2 linked regions of the Neodiprion lecontei genome follow. Each later gene encodes a partner of the first gene's protein in a complex. Links are inferred from orthologs where the notes say so. Each region holds a gene or a part of one and is shown on either strand. Other genes may lie near its edges. The genes, in order: DNA replication complex GINS protein PSF3 and DNA replication licensing factor Mcm7.

Region 1 (12,020 bases):
TTGTCTGTGGAGCGTTAATCATCGGACATTATACGCTGCATAAATAAACATTTATTTTTACGTAACTTTGTTGATGCGATAACGGAGAGTAAATAAATATGTATACACCTATATATACGTATAAATCGTAAATATTCGAGAATATCTCAACTGTCGCAATGTCTGCAACATTTAAAAATACCTATAAATATTGTACACTGGTATAAAACGTCTGGCTTGAAGTGAATTGATTGATTGAATTTAAATTGTGAAAATAGAAGTATAAAAATGCATGAACTCTGCATGCAAAACTGCACGCCACTGTAACATATTATTCGTTTCTCCATATGTAATGCAAATGCGGATGAAAGTACGTCAAGGCCTCGAAATGAAGTTTCTTTAAAGATTCAAAAATAGTACATTATGTTACAAATGTGGGAAATGGGCGATTTCCATCGAGTGTGAAGTAAGCAGCGTGAGCCGCAAAGCGAGCGCTGTAAATACGCGAGTCGGATAACACCCATCCTCACGTGTGACACACGCCATCTTTACCAACACCTGTGAAGGAAAGTTTGAATTGATAAGCAAACTAATGTAATTTGAGAATTCAGAAGAAGTAGACCAAGGACAATTAAGGGGGCCAGAAGCATAGGCTCGGCTTCGTGAAACCTAACCTAAGCGCGCCAACTTCAGGTTGAACTCGGACCAATTACGTCATCGGAGGCGCGTATCGGGAAAGGTGCGCATGCGCCAAGGAAACCTTAGTGTGTAAAATTGTGAATTTTAATATACGCATGCGCAAGCGTCGTTTTACCGCACTTTACGCACGCTCCACAGGCTTTGTTGATCCAACTTTCCAAGCATGTGTTGAAAAGAGATGATTTTTCTCTAATTACCCTGAACTAACACACGCTTCAATTTATACCAAATCAATTCGGGTTCTTATTGTATTGCATAATTTCGTCGAACATTAGGGATAGTTTATTCGTATATTCATATATCATTATGCACGGCAATGGGGTGTAGCTAGTTCGACTGAGTCCGGCGTAATTGTTCTCTGTGTTTATATTATACACCTAGAGTTGCATGGTCGTGGAATATGGTTCTGCTGGATAATGGATATGCCTGTACATTTACCTGTCGCAATGCATCGGTGGTAACAGGAAGGCACTTGATTGAAAATATGATTGCCGGGCTCAGTCTAGATTTTAAGAAGAACGGTATAACCGTTGTGTCAGTAATCTTGTTGTCCACAGAGGGACGCAGCCAGGACCTCGACATAAGCAGAGTCGGGACTAGGATTATGGAAGAGCTTGTCAAGCCTCTACACAACGTGCAAATCGACGACACGGAATTCGCTTGTCTCAAAGCCATAGTGTTCTTTGATCCGAGTGAGTATCCAATCTTAAAAATAATAATGTAAATCGACTAAGGAAGCAAGCCTCGTTTTACACTACGACATCATCTTCACCCGAGTAACGTATCGTTTCAAACCTCGGGAAATGACGATAGTTTTCGCAACTTTGGACTGGAACAGTTTTTGTGATAAGAGTTCACGCCCACGCTTAACGCACTTCATGCGCGAGCCAAAACGGCCCCCGCTCCGCCAAAAAATGTCAAATTTTCAAATGGCGATATCTCAGCAACCAAGGCATATTCGATCAAAAATCAAAAACGGCGTTAATTCGGAGGTCTTGAACTTTCACCACGGGAAACGGGAACCCGATCCGCGACATCGGAGGTCCCTAATTCCCTTGTCAGTGCAGCCAATTGAAAACGCCGTTAGTGCAACTTACTTGACGCGAGAGAGTTTGGCGTCTTCCCGTTTCGAGTATGTTGGCTGCCCTGTCTAGCGTAAGGAAAACATTGCCGCGGTACGATATCGCCGACCAATAGAGTTGAATTACCTCGCGCATGCGCAGTCGAGGACCGACTGTGCCGTACGTTTGACACATCCTTAAACGTCATCAAAATTCATTCCCCCGTTGTATAAACGATTCACTAAAATAACAGAGTGTAAAACGACTTTTCCACAGACGCAAAAGGGCTTAGCGAGCCGGCCAGAATCAAGCATCTCCGTTACCAGATCCAGATAAACCTCGAGGATTACATAAGCGACCGTCAGTACGACAGCCGAGGTCGTTTCGGCGAGATCCTCCTGACGTTACCGGCCCTCCAGTCGATCTCGTGGCAAATGATCGAGCAGATACAATTCGTCAGGCTGTTCGGAGTCGCGCACATCGACAGTCTCCTCCAGGAGATGCTGCTCGGCGGCGCCACGGCCGAAAACAACGGCTCGGCGTCTCTGCCGATACCGAACGCGCCCGGAAGCTACGTCAGCAGCAACGAGAGTCCGAGCAGTCCGCTGACCCCTGCTCATCCCGGTCCCCTGAGTCCCCAGGACCACATGCTAGCCGCCGGAAGTCCGCCTGACATGATGCTCAGGGACCTCACGTCGATGAGTAACGAGGAACACACAACAGCCGCCGGTTTCAGGATGTTCAAACAGGAGCCAAGCCTCGAGGCCGAACCGCCGGGTTTTTGACTAGACGATGAACTTCCGTCCATTTATCCGGAAGAGATGGCCTGCTGAAAATCCTCCTCCTCCTCCTCCTCCTCCTCCTCATATTCGTTCCTGCAAGCTCATTATTATGTGTAGTGCACGATCGACCTTAAATTTCGATGCAAGGTGTAATTATCCGAAATCGACAAAGACGCGACAGTGAGGACTAATCGTATTTGGGGTATCGGGCCGGGAATTAGAAATTACAGAAACGGACGAGAAAATTTTGTGCATGATGATTCTTTGAGTGATATCCAGTCGGAACACAATGATATGATGTTGATCGATCGGTAATAAAAGAGGAATCAATCACGGATTGTTTAAAAATTGAAATTTTGAAACGACAAAGACAATTTGAATTCGGTATACGATTACCGAGAAAAAATTTACTTCGCCATTTTTTCCTGCCAATCTCTGAATTGCGTATAATACGATAAGCTGCGTTTTAGACGATAAGTGTTCAGTGTGAGGAACTGAGCAACGATGACGTATATATAGTCGGAAGGATGACTGATTATATAGAAAATATCCAAAACACTGCGAGTTTTTGATACCGCGTATATATTTATACACCATTGTGAACGATATAGCCATAGATGATCAGTGCCTTGATAATTGCTCAATATATAATTTCTATATCAAAGTAATGATATACGGAAAACTATTGTATACAAGAAACAAATCGTTGATAGATTTGAAAGAAAAACAAACAAAAAACAATGTGGCATTATTTATATACCTACGATAAACAAAATACCTAAGCGTGTATATTCGTAAGTATACACGCGTAGCATTAATTGAAATTTATTAATGCAGGTAAAACTTGTGATAAGATATAATAAACATCTAAACATATACATAATAAATAATTGAAAAAATTGAAAAACTTATACGTGCGATCTTACGATTAATTACCATTATGAAATAATTCCGGAGTAGGAATTTTGAGTGGTAGAAAACGAAAAAAAAAAAAAAATATACATCAGACACTCAAATTTGAGTAACTTTACACGTAAATTGCATAGTATAATAAACTCAATTACTCGAGTGGGAGAAACAGAAATCGCGTGAATTAAGTGAAGTACTTGTCCGAATAACAAGAACAAAAATGAACAAAGGGACGGTAGACTAATAATCGAATATGTAATGACGAAAGCTCGTAAGCAATGCAACTGTAATGACAATAGTTTAAGGGTATAAATTAACGATTAAGTTTGTAAACTTGCAAGTGCCAATTTACGCATGTTTACTAAGTATACGCGTATAATAGAGAAAAATTTATTCCTTACAAAATAACACTTTGCTCAAAAGCGATATTTTTTACTTTTCGCGACCTTTGGTGACGTAGCAAAAGTATTAGATTCGGTCGCAAATCACTTTTTTCAAATTCAACGAATCTTTACGTTTTCGAACCTCTAGAATTCGAAAAACAGTATAAAGAAAATGTCGGTCTGTCCGGCAAACTCTCGCGACGATACGGGAAACGACTGGATGAAAAAATTTGAAACTTACAGAATTTTTTACAATCAAATGGTGGGCATGAAAAATTGCTACAAAGAAAAGATGCAACAGAAAGGAAGGGAAACTAAAACGATCGAAGGGTTAGAATGAGTTTCTTTTTTCGTTTACCGATTTACAAATTTTATCTGTATTATCCACAACCTTTTTTTCTAAATACAAGTTTCGCTTTTTCATTTTTCGCTTCCGGTTTGTCGCTAAAAATTGTCTCGAATAAAAAAATTTTACTACCACTTTACCTTGGGTGAATAGAACTGTAACTTTATAACTGACGAGAAGGTTTATATAATAATATATTTTATATAAAACTTAGATATATTAAAGATTTTACAATAAAATATTATAGAAGTTTAGGACGTATGGAATGGGAAAAAAAAAATTATATACATTCCGAAATCAATAATAGGAAAAAACTTCTTGTAAATATCGTTGTCGTTAGGTATTAAATTCTGTGTATAGTATACACATTATTTTGTACAATCGTAAAATGAAAAACGCGTCAATTTACTAAAGACGACGTAATTTATGCGCAGTACGCGTTATTTTTTTTTATTTTTATTTTTTTTTTTTATTTTACTTACGAGTAACGTGAGCCATTGCAATGCAATTTGTTATAGTAACACCGTAAATATTGGTGTATGTTATATATAGACAGGGAGATTCAGTCTACAGTAATTTTGAAATTGAAATATTATTATTGCCCCAAGATCATAATTATTGCAATTAATAATTACAGGGCTGGTAGTATTCAAGTCGTTTCAAGAAAGTGAAAAAAACCGACTGTCAGACATAAAAAAAGCAAATAAATAGTGACCGATCATAATTAAATATAGCAATTAAGCGAAAAGTGTCGCCACAGTCTTATTCATTTCATCAGAAATAGCCCTATTTTCATTTATGTCACTGAATACGGGTTTTCATTGTTCGTGACATCTTTTTCCGCATTAAAAAAAATGCATCACTGTACACGATATTGAGTGAATGAGTTACAAGTGAACGATAACTCTGATTTACGAATTTATTGTCCTTTCGGGCAAAACATTTCGATAAAGAAAGAATGATCAATGTTATCATAGTTGATTTTCCAAAATAAAACTGAAGCTAATTTTTCTCCTGAAAATACTATAACGCTTAAAAAAAAAAAACAACAGAATCTTGTCCATAGCGGATATCACGTAAGAAAAAAATTGTGCAACAAAATTTTTTCTGCACGAAACTCAATATTACGAACGAGAAAATGACCTGAAAGATCATTTCTTGGAAAAAATAACAAAAAGTGACTCCGTGAAAAAAAAAAGTGTACAATAGTGAGAAAAGTGACCGACTACCAGCCCTGTACTTGTTATTTCCTATTACAACTGTTAGCATTAATATTATTGCTGTCATTGTTATAATAATAATAATTATTATTATTGTTAGCGTTATTCAAAATCTGAAGAAAGAGAGAAAATAATTTCAATGAGAATTCAGAGAGTTTATTACAATTTGATGTGGAAACTCGACCGAACCCAAAGCAATAGTAAAATATTATATTTTTTTTTTTTTTACTCCACAATGAGGTTTACGCATAAAAAATAAAACTTTCCTATATTTTTAACAAGCTAGAAATAAAAAATTTTTCAGAAATGAACAAACTAAAAAAAAGTCACATTGCACACGCCCGAATAGAAGATATAGCGTATCTTTCGCTTTCAATTAATATTGTTTACATTTCATTCTTTCGTTCTCTGTACAAACAAACAACTTATGTGAACTCACATTCTCGTTGTTGTTGATTTTTTTAAAAATTATATCTCTTCGACCGTTATGAAATGCGAATAGAATTGCTTACAAGAATCGTTCCGAGTTTTTGTTTGTTCATTAAATCAATGAATAATTAGTGATTATTTTCTTTCCATTCTAACCTTACGTAGTCAATGGGTTGTGAGATAAATGATGAACCTGTTGTTTGTTGCGTGATTAATGTTATTATTATTATTATTATTATTACTATTATTATTACAATTATTACTGTCATTATGATTTTTCTAACGTTAGCAGTTGTATCATCTGACTGATTTCGTTGGAGAATATCACGGAAGAGAATATTTACATTTGTTACCTAGTAATAGCGATAATTATTCAAACCTATCTATTTCACTTGTTCAAATAAAGGGTTATAATTGTACAATTCTAAAACAGCAAGAGTGTACCTCTAATTATTCATGCATATAAAAACAAATTTTGACCCCGTCATCCTCACCCCGAGTATTCAAGAAACGATTCAATTTTATACAAGGAGTTATCTAAAGTCCAGCTTTAATTTGATCATCGATTCAGTTTTCAGGAGAGTTTCATCGATTCGAGTAGCTTGCAAGACAGTACTGTCGGCAAAGCAGAGTAATAAATGCGTAAGAGTATCTAAGAATTGCCCAAAATCACGTATTCTCATCCTCTAGCTCCGCTCGTTTTCGTTTCTTATGATTAGCTACCATCTCCGATGTCTCAATACTACCGCCGCCTTCCTTCAACCAAGAAATCAAGAGACACCTAGACTTTCTACCTGTTAAAAACAACTTTCTCTCCAGAATAGGAAGCTGCAATCCTACCGTCGGATCTGTTCCTGTATTATGAGCCCAGTCCATTACTAGTCTGAACCGCGATTTGAACGCCTGAAAAGCAACGATCGCCGTAGAAATAATGAAAGAAAACAAATACAAAATTTAACAAAACGTCACTATCTTAGAGAATCAATTCGAGACAAAAGAAATGAAGGAAAAAACATCACATGTCCACCATTTTTCGGCGAATATCTATGTGCATTTCAGTCACAGGAGTTATACCACTCACAATACTTGACTCGAGGAATTACCAACGCCTAAAAATCTTTGTGAAATTGTTGCGAACTTTATAGATTATAAGTGCACTTTTTCAATGCAAATTTGTAAGCATCTCTGCATATTTTTATCAGGATTGCAGGAAAAAACTTCATTCGTGAGAAAACGCATGAACACTAGTGAATAATATTCAGAACTCAACTTTACGCACGACAGTAGGATGTAAAATTTTCCGCGACAAATGAGGTCAAGATTAAAATTTAGTGAGCATTTCTACCCAGGGAGCAGGTGTTTCTCTTCGCAGTTGAGTAATTATTCAAAAAATGTAAATAATTCTACCTTCTTATCCAGAGATTTTCGGTGAACTTTTCTCTCAGATTTGTCTGTGTAATCTCTACGCATTTTTATGAGAGATATAATTAAGATGTTCAAAAGAATTACCTGCAATAGTAGATCCTGAATAAGGTTGCAATCGCTATGCTCGTATTGAGCGAGGTGAATTCCGAATTCATAGAAATAGCAACTCCACTTGTTTAGAGCCACCGCGCATGCGTCTGCAGTTAGAATTTCACTATGGTGTAACAGAATTGAATATGTCAGTTGTTACATGTACTGATAGCTGCTCACGAACTCTTTCAAATAATTCCAACACATTCATATAATTACCGGTATGCCTCCTTGTATATTTTAGGAACTTCTATACTGACGAATGGATGCGTTCTAGAATTCATGGGGTACGCAAGCCAGTGAGGGAGGTCCAATTTTGTTCCTGATTGCAGATCTGGCGACTCCGAAGACACGTCCAGGTAGCCTGTGTTCAAATTACTAAGTAAATGAAATGTATGAAATCTAGATTGCTACATTCCTTCATCACTACACACATAACATTGAGATTAATAAATACAAAAAACAGTGTTTCAGACTATAATTCGAAATAAACGTCACTGAAAGACCGGTTTCAATTTCGTTCGCAGGTTATGTCATGACAGAGTAACGAAATTTGTAGAAATTAATCATAGAACATGGTGGTAAAGAGAATACGAAACTGAATGAAACCCACATCCAAGTCATCAGCATCAATTCGACATCAGAATATCAATGTAACGGATAGAATCATCGAGGTCATTGCAGCGTTTCGTCTTGATGTGATGCGTTAGGTTAGGTTAGGTTTTCGTTGATAAACTCACCGAGACCTGGCAGTTTGACTTCGATCTTGCATGACACGCGTTCTTGACTGGAAAGAATATCATCGATCGAGAAGTAATTTGGCATGTAACTATGACACAACGACATTTTGCACAATGTTCCTCGCTGTTCCGGCGCGTACGTTACTGTACGTTACCGCATTCCGACTTAACGTCAGGCGCTACTGGACGGAACCTTGGAGTATATAGACATAGTGGAAGCATCGACGTTGAAAAAGTATCCCCGAGCCAGTGAGAGAAAGGGACGTCGTAATACAACATGCGCTCTCTTTCTACGGCAGAAGCGCATCGTTGTAGTATTACTAATTCCCTCACTATACCGTTTTCTACTCACAAGAAAGGGGACACCAGGCTTCGTCCACGTCTATATGCTCTTAAGACAAAACGAGTGAATTAGTTCTCAGCACTGTCAACAATCTTTTAACAGAAATCAGTTATCTATTTTGCGCTGCGGAGTTCGTGAGTAGCTTCGCCTCTATCCTAAGGAGTTTTTATAGCTGCCAGCTAATTTCCGAACGCACCGTAAGCAGTAAGTGAAGTGAGTAGCGCACCAATACCCTAGTCTCCATGCACTCACAGGTTTACTTACTACCACCATTCGATCGAGCAGTGTCGCCAATATTCGAAATGACAAACAGCGTTATCATCAACCACTTTACATCGAATTCATATTCCGCGCGAATATTCAAACATTCTGACGGCAAAAATTCTCAATAGATATTTGCGAACGTTGTCTAAAAAATACAAAGACGGATACCGCTGGCAAATTTTCTTGAGCACTTTTCGATGTGTATTTTCCAACAGGAACTGCGTATCGCGGTCAGTAATGGATAAAACTTCCATGTCCCTGGAATAGTTTACTATTTGTGTAAAATAATTTAATTTGATATAATTATATCTACAATAATTATTCCACAGATAATTATTTTACACAAAAATATCAAAATTTCAGTTAACACACGCAGGTCCATAAAGGTTTTTACATTCTTTAGTCAACATATTGATGGATCTATCACATGCGTGATCTTTATGTGCTAATCGTAAGCCAATCTTGTCAAAGCTGTTCATTTTACGCTTTTTGTTAATAAATTTCCAAAATACCAATGGGAAGTTTTTCTTCCATTAAATTCATTTATAAAAAAAAAACGGGGAATATAAGATGGGTCGACAAACGAAATGAGGATATGTAATTACGATCTATAAATTATGCATAATTTAGCGATATTTTTAATATTAGTTTATTTCGACATTTTAAGATGTATGGACAATTATTACATAATAATTATATATATAATGAGACATATTTTACTTTATGTCGGTTGGTTTGCGTGTATATAATTATGTATTCCAATTATATGTATCGTGTGTCTCTCCTCGTTACATTTTCTTTTTAGACATTTCGAATCTTACACAACACCCTTTCATAAAATTATAATTATACATATATATATATTTATATATTTATATAGTCATTAAACTATGATAATGAATTATGAAATATGTGTTCAGGGTAGGTTGTTAATCGCAAATTAATAATAATTATTCATTTTTTTTCTTCTTTCTCTTCGTCTTCTTCTTCTTCGTCGTGTTATCGTTATCAATATTATAATCAGTATATTAATGATTAACCATATTATGTATAATTACGATGTAACACTATAATTAAATTTTGTTGTGAATTTTTTTTTTTTTTTTTTCATTTTTTCCATCTTTTTTTCTGTATTTACTTTTATTTACTGTATTATCATTAATATTATTATCATTATTATTATTATTATCATTATCATTATTATCATTATTAATATTATTATATATTTCATCCGAAATAAGTGAAAGTACGTTATACAATTAATCCTGCACGCATATTATATATAATAATATAGTATATATATATATATATATATATATTATATGTATGTTCGCAACTCGACAATATTATTCCGCATAAGTTTTTCTTTTTTGTTTCATTCATTTAATTATTCATTTTGTTTTTAATAATTTTCGTTTTCTTCTTCTTTCTTTTCGTTCTGTTTTTTTTTTTTAAATTTTTTTTCTATTTTTCTGTTTGTGTATCACTCGTTAATTAGAAATACGCAGGAATATTCAATGACATAATTATCGTATTAAAGAGTATCTAAGACATTGCCGATTACCGTATCTCAAAAGATGGTAAAACTTTTCAACCTTCTTTACACCTGCAAGATATTCTCTGGTCAGCATTAATACAGGAATCCACACATACTTGTAGACATGATACCAGAAGAACAGTATTTGTGTGATGTAATTAACTTATTCTTGGTACGTACGGTTCCTATATGTGTGTGTGTGTATAATATATGCATATACATGTGTGCACATAATGTATACATACGAAATGCTAGCCAGAAAATGTCTATATTATATGTATGCTAGTCTAAAACTATCCGTACATTATATTATTATTATTAATATTATTAATATTGTTATTATTGTTATTATTATTTGAAAAAACGGTAGTTTTTGCCCATCGGCTTCAATATACACCGTCTATAACCAATACATAAATACGGTATCAAGATCGATCTTGAATTTTGCCATCTTCTTGTGCACAAGATACAGATTAACGCAGGGGAGGCCAAACTTTCGCACAAGTTACAATTCTAACCTCACGCAAAATACATGCCCGTCTGTCAAGGACTCGAGGATTGCTTTGGATTGTTTTTAATTTTTTTTTAATCCTTTGTCAAAATCAGGGCGCATGGAAACGAAGCAAGACGAAGGCAACCTTGAATCGTGATGCCGGGTATATTTTCACTCTTATAATTACACTCAACCACTTCGCACCTGCAATACTCGGAGCCAAAAGAGCCGCGTCAAGTCTGACCGACCCTGCGGCAATGTCTTATTTCTCTTCTTTTAATAATGATTATTACAAAACCTTCGGTTGTGTCTTTGTCGTATTTCTATTTTTAACAATACTCCTATGTATTTTATTTTTTATTTTTTTTTTCTTGCTACGTAACTCTATGCAATATGTATTAATAAGGAAAACCCTGACCTCGGCAGCTGCACTAGCAGGTCCTTTATTTCTCACGCTACGGTTTTTTTCTTCGTCAACTTGGTTTTTTTTTTTTAATTAAAAAAAAATTTATTTTTTTTCTGGTTTTTTTCAATTAATACAGAGTAACTATAATTATATATAAATATATATATATATGTGTATATATTTATATATATATATATATATATATAGGTATAGGGAAGCGCGGTTGGTAATAACACTTCCTAATTCCCTCGTCTATGCCGATACACGTCATGTATTTTTAAACATGCAAACGGTGTTGCGTATGCATGTATATCGCGTTTCGCGGCGCATTGTTACGAACAATTTACTAACGGCTCGTTGAAAGTTGTAAATAAAAAGAGATGGAGAGGAAAGAAAAAAAACAAAAAAAAAAAAATTATCGGCATTAATAACAATTAACGGTATCGATGTTAAACAGTGAGAAAATTTTATGAATCGTAACGTATTGTGTTGAAACAGAAAGTCTCCTGCATACCAGTGTATTGTTCAGCTATATATGTGACTAGAAACACGTTGTAATATGAAATATAATGTATGACTTAGGTGTACGATAGTAATAAGAAATATTATTATAATCAAATATATTACTTATAATTATACATAATAGTTACAGAGATTTAAAAATCATAGCGTTGATGTAACTTAATTTTACAATAATATGGCAACCGCGATAGTATAAAATAAAAAATAAAAACGAAACAATAATTGAAATAATGATAATATTAACGATAATAAGACTGGGAAATGTAGACTCGAAATATAATATCTTACGTGTATGACATTTGTGAATTTATGCGATGAAAAAATAAAATTGTTTTACACGCGTATTCGTTTTTTTATACGATCGTCGTTTCTCGAGATATTAAAGAAAAAAA
Region 2 (10,561 bases), on another chromosome or scaffold:
ATTACCATTAATTGCAAGCATTAATTTTTATGAGGCTATTCTCACTTACAATAAAAAAGTTTTCGATTGTTCTTATTTGACATTACATGTAAAGTCGTGGTGTATGCGAAATTTTTACGTCAGCGATGCGTGAACTTTTATAATACAATAGTCGGAACAAGTGACATTTTACTCGATCGGTAGATACTAATATAGCATCTTCTTAAGCATCGCATCGCGCACAAAATCTCTGAAAATAACGTCGTTATGTGCGCAATTGCTGTTGAAACAATCAAAGCCCAGCAAAATATATTATCTGTTATCATCAGAACTGCTTTGTATTCGGAAATGCTAAGATGTTGGCCGGTAGCAGTCAGACATTTGTTGAACAGACAATTTTCCAATCAGCCTATTACATCTTACTACTCTACAATTGGCATTATATTTGTCGTATATTTAAGAGAAATTTACTGATGTTAACTTTTTACTCTGGTAACGGAAACGGCTGGGCCAATTCTATGAATAATATCAAATGAGGATAATCGTTCCAGAACAGCGTACCCATAACACTACTGTATGATTTTACAGACTGATCAATTATTTTGAGCAATACGCGGAGTATGATCCATTCTTCACCCAACCAGAGTTCACCAATCCATGGGTTTCGGATAATCCGGAGATGTGGGAACAGGAAAAAATAGCGTAAGTTTACGTTGTTATAGAATAATTGCGGACATGTTTGTCTGTATTTGTTGAGTTCCCTTTTTTTTCATACCGTAGTGTTCAGTCATTTTTTTCATTAACTTGTACATCACAGAAAAGAAATATCTGCTAGACGGGTGAAACGATGGGCTTTCAGTCTACAAGAATTACTTCAAGATCCAATTGGCAGAGAACAGTTCGTGCGTTTTTTGGATAAGGAATTTAGTGGAGAAAATTTGAAGTATGTATATTTGAAGAATAATACATCAATAGTCATTGTAGTCAACTGTCACCAAATGTTATATCTGAGGAAGCATGTTATTGGTGGCATATTTATTACCGATTTCTTTTATAGATTTTGGGAAGCTGCACAGGAATTGAAAACCTTACCTCAGCGTGACGTTCAAGCTAGAGTTCAAGAAATTTGGGATGAGTATTTAGGTACTGATGCCAGCTGTCCGATTAACGTTGATTCAAGATCGTATGATTCCACTAAGAAGAACTTGGAACAGTCAGACAGATGGAGTTTCGACATCGCTGCTGTAACTATTTTCACACATACTATTACATTGTATTGTTTTCATGGCAGAATTCAGAGAAGATTATCGAAAATTAAGTCTAATCTGATTCAAACTTAACTACTACTATAAATTTATTACAATCCAAATCATGATTTTCTGCCACGTTCAACTTATCAAGTCACTATCAATAATCTGTCTATCCTCAATTTAACATTCTTGTTCCAATAATATTTCCATCAGCTGACGAAAAATATTAACACTCACTGTAACATTTTGTACTCAGGCTCACGTCTATCACCTGATGAAAAGTGATAGTTATTCGAGATATCTACGCTCGGAAATGTACAAAGATTTTCTCAACGGTTCCAAGAAAAAAGTAAGATTTCATTGTTTATATTCATGACTCACTGCCCATGTAGTTCATTGGTGTTACTTTCACCTTCTGTTTCAGACATCAGTAAAAGGTATTCGTTCCATTGTGTCGTTCACCGCTCGCAAGGATGCTACAGGATCTTAACTGATACATGTAATAATTTTTTGTGTAGTGCGATGTTTAAATTTTAAGTCTCCATTGACATTCGAGCTTATAGACTGAAGAACACGACGATGCATAGTAATTTTTTTCGTTTTGCATTACAGATAGGCTTTGAATTTGTTATACTACACCTGCTGGGTTGAAAAATTTGCAGGAGGGTGCTGCTGCAGTGGAATTTCAATGATATTCTTGATAATGCAATTCTGATATTTTCCTTATAGGGTGTCGGGAAAGGGGGGGAGGGGGGGAGGGGGATCATTATTGCCGAATGATGTGATATAATTATAAAACGGTGTTATTGTTATATGAATAAATGAAGTTGATGCCAGGAAGATTGAAATAGAAAGGAATAAGAAAATTACGAACCTGACAGAATATTCACTGATATAGTAATTTCGCCAATATGTACACTCATTCGCGTATCCAGTATACACATAGATTTGTACACACACTGGAGGTCTACACAACATTGAGGAAACCTAGCCCACTGCCGACAATTGCAAATATATATTTTTTGAGGTGTATGAATTCTATGGAAAAATATTTTATTGTGAGTTCAACTGTATTTTAATTAATTATTCATTATCGTTAAGAGGAGTTGGAAACTCGACCAGGACATTTGATAGATCGATTGATGTTCTTACTGTTCACAGAAGAACACAGCTACGTGAATATCGAATTGCAAAAGTCAAATTGTATAAATATATAGAAATGTACAACCCATGAGAAAATCAAATTATGCTCACCAGAGAGAGAAGCTGTTTTTCAAATTTAGAGTGCAAACATTAAGAAACAATCTTTCTAATTTCTAAGCATTTATATATAAATGTGGATGTATATAATTCGACATACAAGAAAAAAAGAAATTTTGATGACTCAACTTAAATACTGCAGCAAAACAAGAAAGACTTTAAGAAACATATAATATTAAACAATGAACTACAAATTTTTTCGCGATATTATTTAACAATAAGTCACAAAGCGCTACGCTGGACAGTGGCTGCGAACAGTCGACTGGAAAAAATATACTGATCACTTTTAATCCTCGGTAATATAGCCGGGTACTTAAAGTTGTTGTGATTATAGTTGCTGACTAGACAAATTGAATGTATGTATGATAGGCTGTAGAGTGTATAAACATTTACGTGTATAATCAAAGAATGCTCATGTGGCCGATACACATTAGAACATTTGTTATATTAAATATAATAAATGAATATAATACTATACAGCTATACACTTATTGTGCAGGAAACCTGCTTGCTTATACGGGCATATTACCAATTTCAAGGTGATACTGTACGTGTATAATTGCTTATCAACAATATTTATAGAAAAACGGCATCCGTATAGAAATATAATGCAATACGCAGGTATCCTGTGCATAACAATTATTATTGTTGATCTAGCTTGTCCATACCTGAGCTTGTTGATAGATATTTATATATACATATACCTAACAGTTGATTACGGTTTCATCCAATGTGGTAATCAACGGTGTATAAGCATCCGTGTGTATATAGTGTTAGTGAATATGGTTGTACAATTCCGTCTTAGAAACGACTAAAAACATTTGTTAGATTATCGTATATACATACGTATACCTGCACACATTAAAAAAGCACATTCCATGGTTATTTTCACATTTTTTGAGTGAAAAACAGCATACTTGTTTCATTATAATATCACGTTTTTGGTTTCAAACATGCCCTAGTATATTGAGCTGAATCAGCTGGATGTCATTTTTCTTACACGTAAACAAATTATGTATATACGATCGTGTCATTTTATTATTAGTCAGCTCAACAACACTTGCACGGAACGTAATGTAATGAACATGATCAATGTATTTTTTTGAACTTAGGGATAGTGTTGTGGAGAACTATTTGAATTTCAACTATGCGGCTATTGCTAAGCATTGCTAGATCAACATATGTGATGATTGTAATAGAATTCGTGAAAAAGTGATTATCCTGAACGGAATATCCTGAAAATATTAATCCTGAACGGAAAATCACTTTTTTTCCTCATGTAAGCGTAGTGTGAAAAGACATATAGGACTAGACGCGAAAGTTTATAAAAAGTATTTGCTGCCTGATTGGTTGCACGTTCTCGAGAGATCAGAGAATATATATATATTTATGAAGTAAAATGCATCCTGTGGTCAGAAGGCCCAAAGTCGACTGAATTATTTATTCAGTGTTCATCAAATCACGCACGTCAGCATATAACTAGTCTATATAATTAATAGCTTGAAGAACACGGTAAACTATATTTACAATTGTATATCAATCTTATTTGTGTCAAAGAAAAAGAAAAAAGAAAATACTGATCAAAGTTAAGGGGATATATCCATTATTGGGCATATGAAAATTCATTCAATTTGCTATTATTCTAGAAGAACAAAGATTGCCTGCATTCAAAGACGTATCTTTGTAGCCAATTGTTGAGTGTTCACTCGTTATTTAATTATTTTCTTCATTTTGATCACAATCACAAACTATAAAGTCAAATTTACTCTCACGCGACTACTGACTATCTACCTTTAAAAATCTTGTATGCATTTCGTATGATTTAATGGCGCTTTCAAATTGTCTACACTAAAATGGATGGATCCCCTTAAGGTAATAAAATACGTAAAGTAGTAATTTTATGATACGTCCTGCACCCGGGATATCGGAATTGAATGTGCGATGCAATATAATACGGGTCGATAATGATTTTATAAATATGATGTCTAAAATGTGTATTTTGAACTTAAGAACTATTGTCTAGTGTAATTAGGAATATAACTTATTTCCATTTTTTCTGAATTATTCCTCGTGAATCTTAAGAGGCAGAATTAGGATATTAATCAATTAGGACAGTTTAAGGATAATAATTATTACTCCAATGATCCTGTTATGCACAAAAATCCGTGACTACTGAATAAGTTAAGATCTAAAACAGTCTCAAAACCTACACAGAAGTATCAATACCTTTAGATATTATCATCCCGTTGCACCCATACTAGGATCATTTATTATATGGAGAAATTTTATCGGAAAGTAATTGTTTTCTTTTTGTTGCATTAAGAATTGAACAACTAATGTATTCACAACTGAGCACTTCAAAAATGGGGGCTAACATTGAACAGTCTGTAGCTACTATTCGCGGGCATGTATCCCGATTAATAAAGCGGTTACAATAAACAATGGTTTGTTTTATCCAGCGATATACATATATACACAAACACAATTATAATTTCATTATATTTATTATAACTAACATCATAAATCGACAAATAGTTTTTTAAATAAAACTTTACTTTTGCTCAAATCTCGTGTATAATTTTTGTATCAACTAGAGGTCCACAAAAAGCGTTGTAATTACTTACCCTGTGCCTAGTTTATTTTTTTGTACCAAAATTTATCACGTGAATGCATTTCTTGCTTCCGTGTTTCAGAAACGGCATTTACTGCAATGAGATGAGATGTCAATTGTAAAAGATAGAATAACACGTAAAATGATTGAAGAAACTATAGAGCTGGTACAGCACGCAAGTAATATGACTGTTATTGTTAAAAAAGTAAATCGAGGACGTTTATGATTTGCAATATGCCAACAAAGTTGAACGTTCAGTAGAATGGCTAATACTTTCTTCTAACACGGTTATTCGATCTTAAGTATGTTACACACATACCATTCACATGCCTTTAGTCAGCATAAAGTTACCTCTAATCAAAACCCGCGCCCAAACTCTGCCAGCGACAGTGGGGCCTCTAGCGCACTTTCACATGCACCTACTTTTTGCGATTGCGCGGCAAATATGGCGGGAAAACTTCGCCGGCGTCAGTTGTTCCCAACGTGCTGCTGTGTTTAGTCGAAGTCCAGTTGTTTCATCACTTTAACTTTGGCGGTTGATTATTGTCGGTGGTAAACCAAGTCAAGAGTAAAAATGCCTACGAAAGTAAATAGAGACTACACAAAAGACAAAGGTGAGCTGCTTAAACCAATTAGTAATTTAACCCTGTAGTTTATTGATCAATTGATAATTCGATAACCTCAAACGTAGTGTTGTTATTTTCCAAGCTGCATTTGAAGCACTCGCAGTTCTGACTATTAGTTAAAATCGATTAGCGAAGAGAGTCAGTCAACGGCATTGTGTTGAGCCGTGCAACAAGGAAACTGAGATAAAAGTTCAAATTTAAAAAACAGTCAAAATTCCCTAAGAAGGCTTACAGGGTTGTCGTATGGGAACAATCTCTCCTCGTTGTTATTCTTGACAGTTGAATCTGTTCAGGGATCTGATGTCTTCGTAAAGTCAATTGCATATTGATTTTAATTACTCAGTTAACTTGTTCGCTGTTGCTTGTTGCACAGTAGAATGACCGCCGGATCTCTCCTTTCCCAGCTGACTTGTTTAATACATATATCAAGTCTCTGACGGTGACACACACTGGCAGCATAATTGATACTATAATGGTTGGTTTACAGTTGGATTGTTCACCGAGTTTTGCAAGTTGGTTCATTTTGGAAGTTCCAACAAATTGTATAATATTCACTAATAGTTTATCACTAACAGTGTAATGATACTGAAGCAATTTCTCAGTCGTTCTGGTTCTTGTGTTTTATTGTGTTGACTAAAAAATCTCAAGAAGAAATTTTATGTGGAATGAATCCAAGCAATTAAACTAGGAAGTCCCCACAAAGTCTTCTTTCAGAATCTTAGATGTTTCAACGATTGTCGATGAAGTTTGTAAGAATTCCAGTTCGTCTCTTTTAAGAACACCTACAGAGAGAGAAGATTTGCTGATTTTGATGAATTTTTATCCAACAAATTCATAATAAAATGTATTAATTTTTTTTGCAACTCACATAGGGCTAAAATACAATTTCTAACAGATATAAGAAAATTCCAATAAAAAAATACTAATTTGTCTTTCCAGATAAATGCTGTTACACTAGATTAACTAGTGTCATACATTCCTAAAGTTAATTATTGTTACCGAAGATCAATTTTGTTGACTTGGAATTTTTTGTCTTTAGTCTGTGAATGATTGAAGACAAAGCTTTGAGCGAAAAACAAACTATTTCGCTGAGAGATTAACTACTGGGTGGCCACTGGTCAGGGAAAACTGGAATGTCAGAGAATTTTTCAATTAGTTGGAGAATTTTGTGTGGCATGGAAAGAAAAAGAATAAAGCTTCCCTCACGAAGAACCTAAATTCTAAGAACAAATTTTTCTCATGTGCTCAGTTCCATGACCATTAAATAAATCATAAACATATTTTTGAATACTGATTGATTGGGAGCTTTATTTATTAGATACTCGAATTGACCCTAATAGTTCAGATTTTAGTCAGGGAAAAATTATAATTTGGTCAGGAAAAGTTTGAGAAAAGTCACAGAATTTTTTTGACTATCTTTGGTAGCTGCCATGAACTATGAATAAAATCACAAATAAATAATAAAACTTGGAAAAATTACATTCACAAAAGAAATTGCAAATAACTTAACCACTCTATAGGTACCTCGTGTGTATCTTGTAGTTTTCAATAGCAATAGATCACGATGATTTAAAAAACCTCTGGCGGTGGGGTATCGAAAACCAAACTCATTGGAACCTCTGCTGTGTGATCTCGGTGTAACTTGTGCACAATAACTGGTGGTATGGTATATATGGTATATATATAATATGGTTTAGAAATAAGCTTGCGTCGTCATCGACATAACTTAAATGGTTTTAATCAAAGTTATTAGATTCAGCCACTCACATTAACTCCCAACTTTAACTGTATAACGGAATTAGAATTGATATTTGTTAAGGTGATGCACAAGGGTCTGAACAGTTTGAAATGCTTCCTTCAGGTAGTATAAACTGAAATTGTGTCATGGACTGAATGCGGCAATAATCCATTATCTCTATTTTGACATTAAGTAATTTTCACCAATACTGAGTGACTCACACCAAGTACCTGATCTTTGTTACAGAACAGCTCAAGCAGTTCTTTGCCGAGTATGCGAAAATGGATGATAAATCAGGCGATAAGACGTTTAAATATCGCACTCAACTCACCAATATTGCTCATAGAGAGCAAGTTGCATTTATCATTGAACTTGACGACGTCGCTGAATTTGATGACGAATTGGCTGAAGCTATACAATATAATACTCGTCGTTATACTACATTAGTATCAGAGGTACAATGAGAGAAGAGTAATCATTGAAAGCATTTCTCTTATTTTTGACAGAAAACTGTTAGTAATTTTCAAAGCTTGTAGCTGCTATTTGTCAAGTCAACTTATAAAATTGAACAGAGCCTTCAGAAAACTAATACCCAATTTCACCTTGGAAGTCCGCACTTTGTTTATACAGAAACAATTTGTGTCATTCTGTGTCAGATGGGATGAAAATTCGTAATATTAATATGCAACAATAGATTTTTCAGAAAAATCTCTATTAAACAGTATAAAATTGTTCAAAATTTAGTAAAACGATATGATGCAAAACATAATCACATTTTTCAAATGCAAACCCTTCAGTTTAATTCCTAAGTTACAAAATGATGTTTTTCAATGTTACGAATTTCAATCTCATCCTTTAGATAGTCCAGGAAATGTTACCCGACTTTAAAGAAAGAGTCGTACCACCTAAAGATTCATTGGATGTTTATATTGAGCATCGTTTGTTGATGGAGCAACGCAACAGACATCCTGGAGATCAGAGGGACCCAAGAAACAATTATCCACCAGAGCTCATGCGACGATTGTGAGTAATGCATTGATCTAACAACTGTAATATCTATAATTTTTCACCACTTAAGTAGGGAAACGGTCATTATATTTGTTGGTGTCTCAAGAATCATAGTTCGTGAAATAATTCTGTTTGTTTTCTGTGTGTTCACAGTTGTATCCTATTTCGATAGGTTTATTTAATACGTAAATTTCTTTAGTATTTTCTTAGTAGCCTGCTTCTTAGTTGAAATTTATTTTGTTCTTGAGTAGAAGTACGTACTACACACTACCAATCGAGTATCACTTATTTGCTCCAAATACAATGACTTCAATTCAACGATTTTGATTTAGTTAGTTTGTCAAAATAATTTAGTCAAGCGAATTCCTTGATTCGACAAAATTCTTTCTTGTCGCGATCGAATGAAATATTGATTCGAGTGAACCTTTTAATGTTTTACCGAAATTGAGTCAACTAAATATCATTTCATTTGAAGTTTACGTATTGTTCCTCCAAGTCACATGTTTGTTGACAAAAACAATTAAGTACTTCAAATAAAATGAGTACATGAATCTAGCCAACAAAAAATTTACATCAATTAATGCTGTACTTTGTTGATCTAACCGGAGCTTGTTTGGTGTAACTAGTTGGATCAGTTGCAATAATTTTTTTACTAGGTAAAACAAACACCACATACTTTAAAATAAGTAGAGAATATATTCATCGTAAACATCAGTATACTAGTACGATAAACAGCCACTAGGTGGTGAACTTTCTCAGTACGGAAGTAGCTTCAGAGATAGTTATAAAACCGGGTAGTTGGCTAAGAAGTTTGATACGGATAATGGAAGAGAAATTTATCATCAGAGGTATTAAAACATTTGAGAGCACAATGTCAAGTTTAGTGTTGACATTCTATGTCGGTTTCGGCAAATACCTTTTTTGACATTCGTACCCTAGAGACAATATTGTGTACTCAATCATTCTCATACATAAAAATATAAGTAATCCAAAGCTACTGGAAATTACGCGTAACATCAATCACAAAGAATGTTTGATGCTGCTGGTAATGATACAGGTTGTCAGGATTAACATCATATCCGATACAAAACACACTTATTTTAAGACAAACGCTGAAAACCCTGTAGGATCAACCCAGAGAAGTTGAATTGAGTCTACGTAATGCCTCCCTGAAAATCAACTAACTTTTACTTTTCCATAAATTTCCTGTACATTTATTACGTTTCCATCGATTGAAATAGAAATCCTATCTGTACATATCCATCTCTTTTCAGCGAAGTTTACTTCAGAGATTTCGGAGCATCTAAAGCTTTACCGGTTAGAGACATAAAAGCTGAGCACATTGGCAAATTAGTCACAGTAAGGGGTATCGTTACCCGATCCACAGAGGTTAAACCGATGATGGTCGTTGCCACTTATACTTGTGATCAATGCGGGGCAGAAACATACCAACCGGTAGGGAAAAATCATGCCGGTTCATTTTGCACAAAAGCCCCATAGGGAGCTATTCGATTTTATTTATCGTCATCTGTGGCGATTAGCAACTAATCCGAACATAGGGTTCATTGTGCATTTTCCGCACATTTAGTAAGTACTGCGAACAGCTACGACTCGCTTTTTATGCTGTAGCTCCCAATGGGGACGTTGCTCGAAATGTTCTGGTACATATAATATCGAATAGATAATTGGACTTACAATTAATGACTTTCTAAAAAGTACAGTTATTATTACTTCGCTACTCAATGTGCAGGTACTTTCGCTAAGCTTCATGCCCTTGCAATTCTGTGGAAGCGACGATTGCCGGGTCAATAAATCTGGAGGAAGGTTATCTTTGCAAACAAGAGGTTCCAAGTTCATTAAGTTTCAGGAGATCAAGATTCAAGAACATGTAAGCTCAAGTAGTCAATAGTGTAGTCAGATAATCTCTGAATAAAAGATAGAATCCTACTTGCATATTATATTGCAGAGTGATCAAGTACCTGTTGGTCATATTCCAAGATCGTTGACGATCTTCTGCCGCGGTGAAATGACAAGGCAATGTCAGCCTGGAGATCATGTAACTATTACTGGAATATTTTTACCTTTACTG

What was found.
Region 2: DNA replication complex GINS protein PSF3 (region 1) and DNA replication licensing factor Mcm7 share a complex: the UniProt entries of both Homo sapiens proteins name them as parts of the CMG helicase complex. The link is inferred for Neodiprion lecontei from reciprocal best matches to the Homo sapiens genes GINS3 and MCM7.

What each region holds. Positions count from the first base shown.
Region 1 is NC_060260.1:39,845,632-39,857,651, forward strand, and holds DNA replication complex GINS protein PSF3, read right to left. Parts: upstream 8,257-12,020; 5' UTR 8,170-8,256; coding exon 8,064-8,169; intron 7,688-8,063; coding exon 7,543-7,687; intron 7,448-7,542; coding exon 7,318-7,447; intron 6,712-7,317; coding exon 6,478-6,711; 3' UTR 3,935-6,477; downstream 1-3,934. Other genes in the region: hepatocyte nuclear factor 4-gamma, read left to right, coding at 1,218-1,370, 2,016-2,524. UniProt on the Homo sapiens protein: Required for correct functioning of the GINS complex, a complex that plays an essential role in the initiation of DNA replication, and progression of DNA replication forks.
Region 2 is NC_060261.1:14,197,474-14,208,034, forward strand, and holds the start of DNA replication licensing factor Mcm7, read left to right. Parts: upstream 1-5,388; 5' UTR 5,389-5,674; coding exon 5,675-5,714; intron 5,715-6,180; exon of another isoform or gene 6,181-6,201; intron 6,202-7,710; coding exon 7,711-7,919; intron 7,920-8,323; coding exon 8,324-8,487; intron 8,488-9,746; coding exon 9,747-9,927; intron 9,928-10,222; coding exon 10,223-10,360; intron 10,361-10,438; coding exon 10,439-10,561. Other genes in the region: regulator of G-protein signaling 7, read left to right, coding at 568-681, 797-922, 1,037-1,223, 1,486-1,578, 1,654-1,719. UniProt on the Homo sapiens protein: Acts as a component of the MCM2-7 complex (MCM complex) which is the replicative helicase essential for 'once per cell cycle' DNA replication initiation and elongation in eukaryotic cells.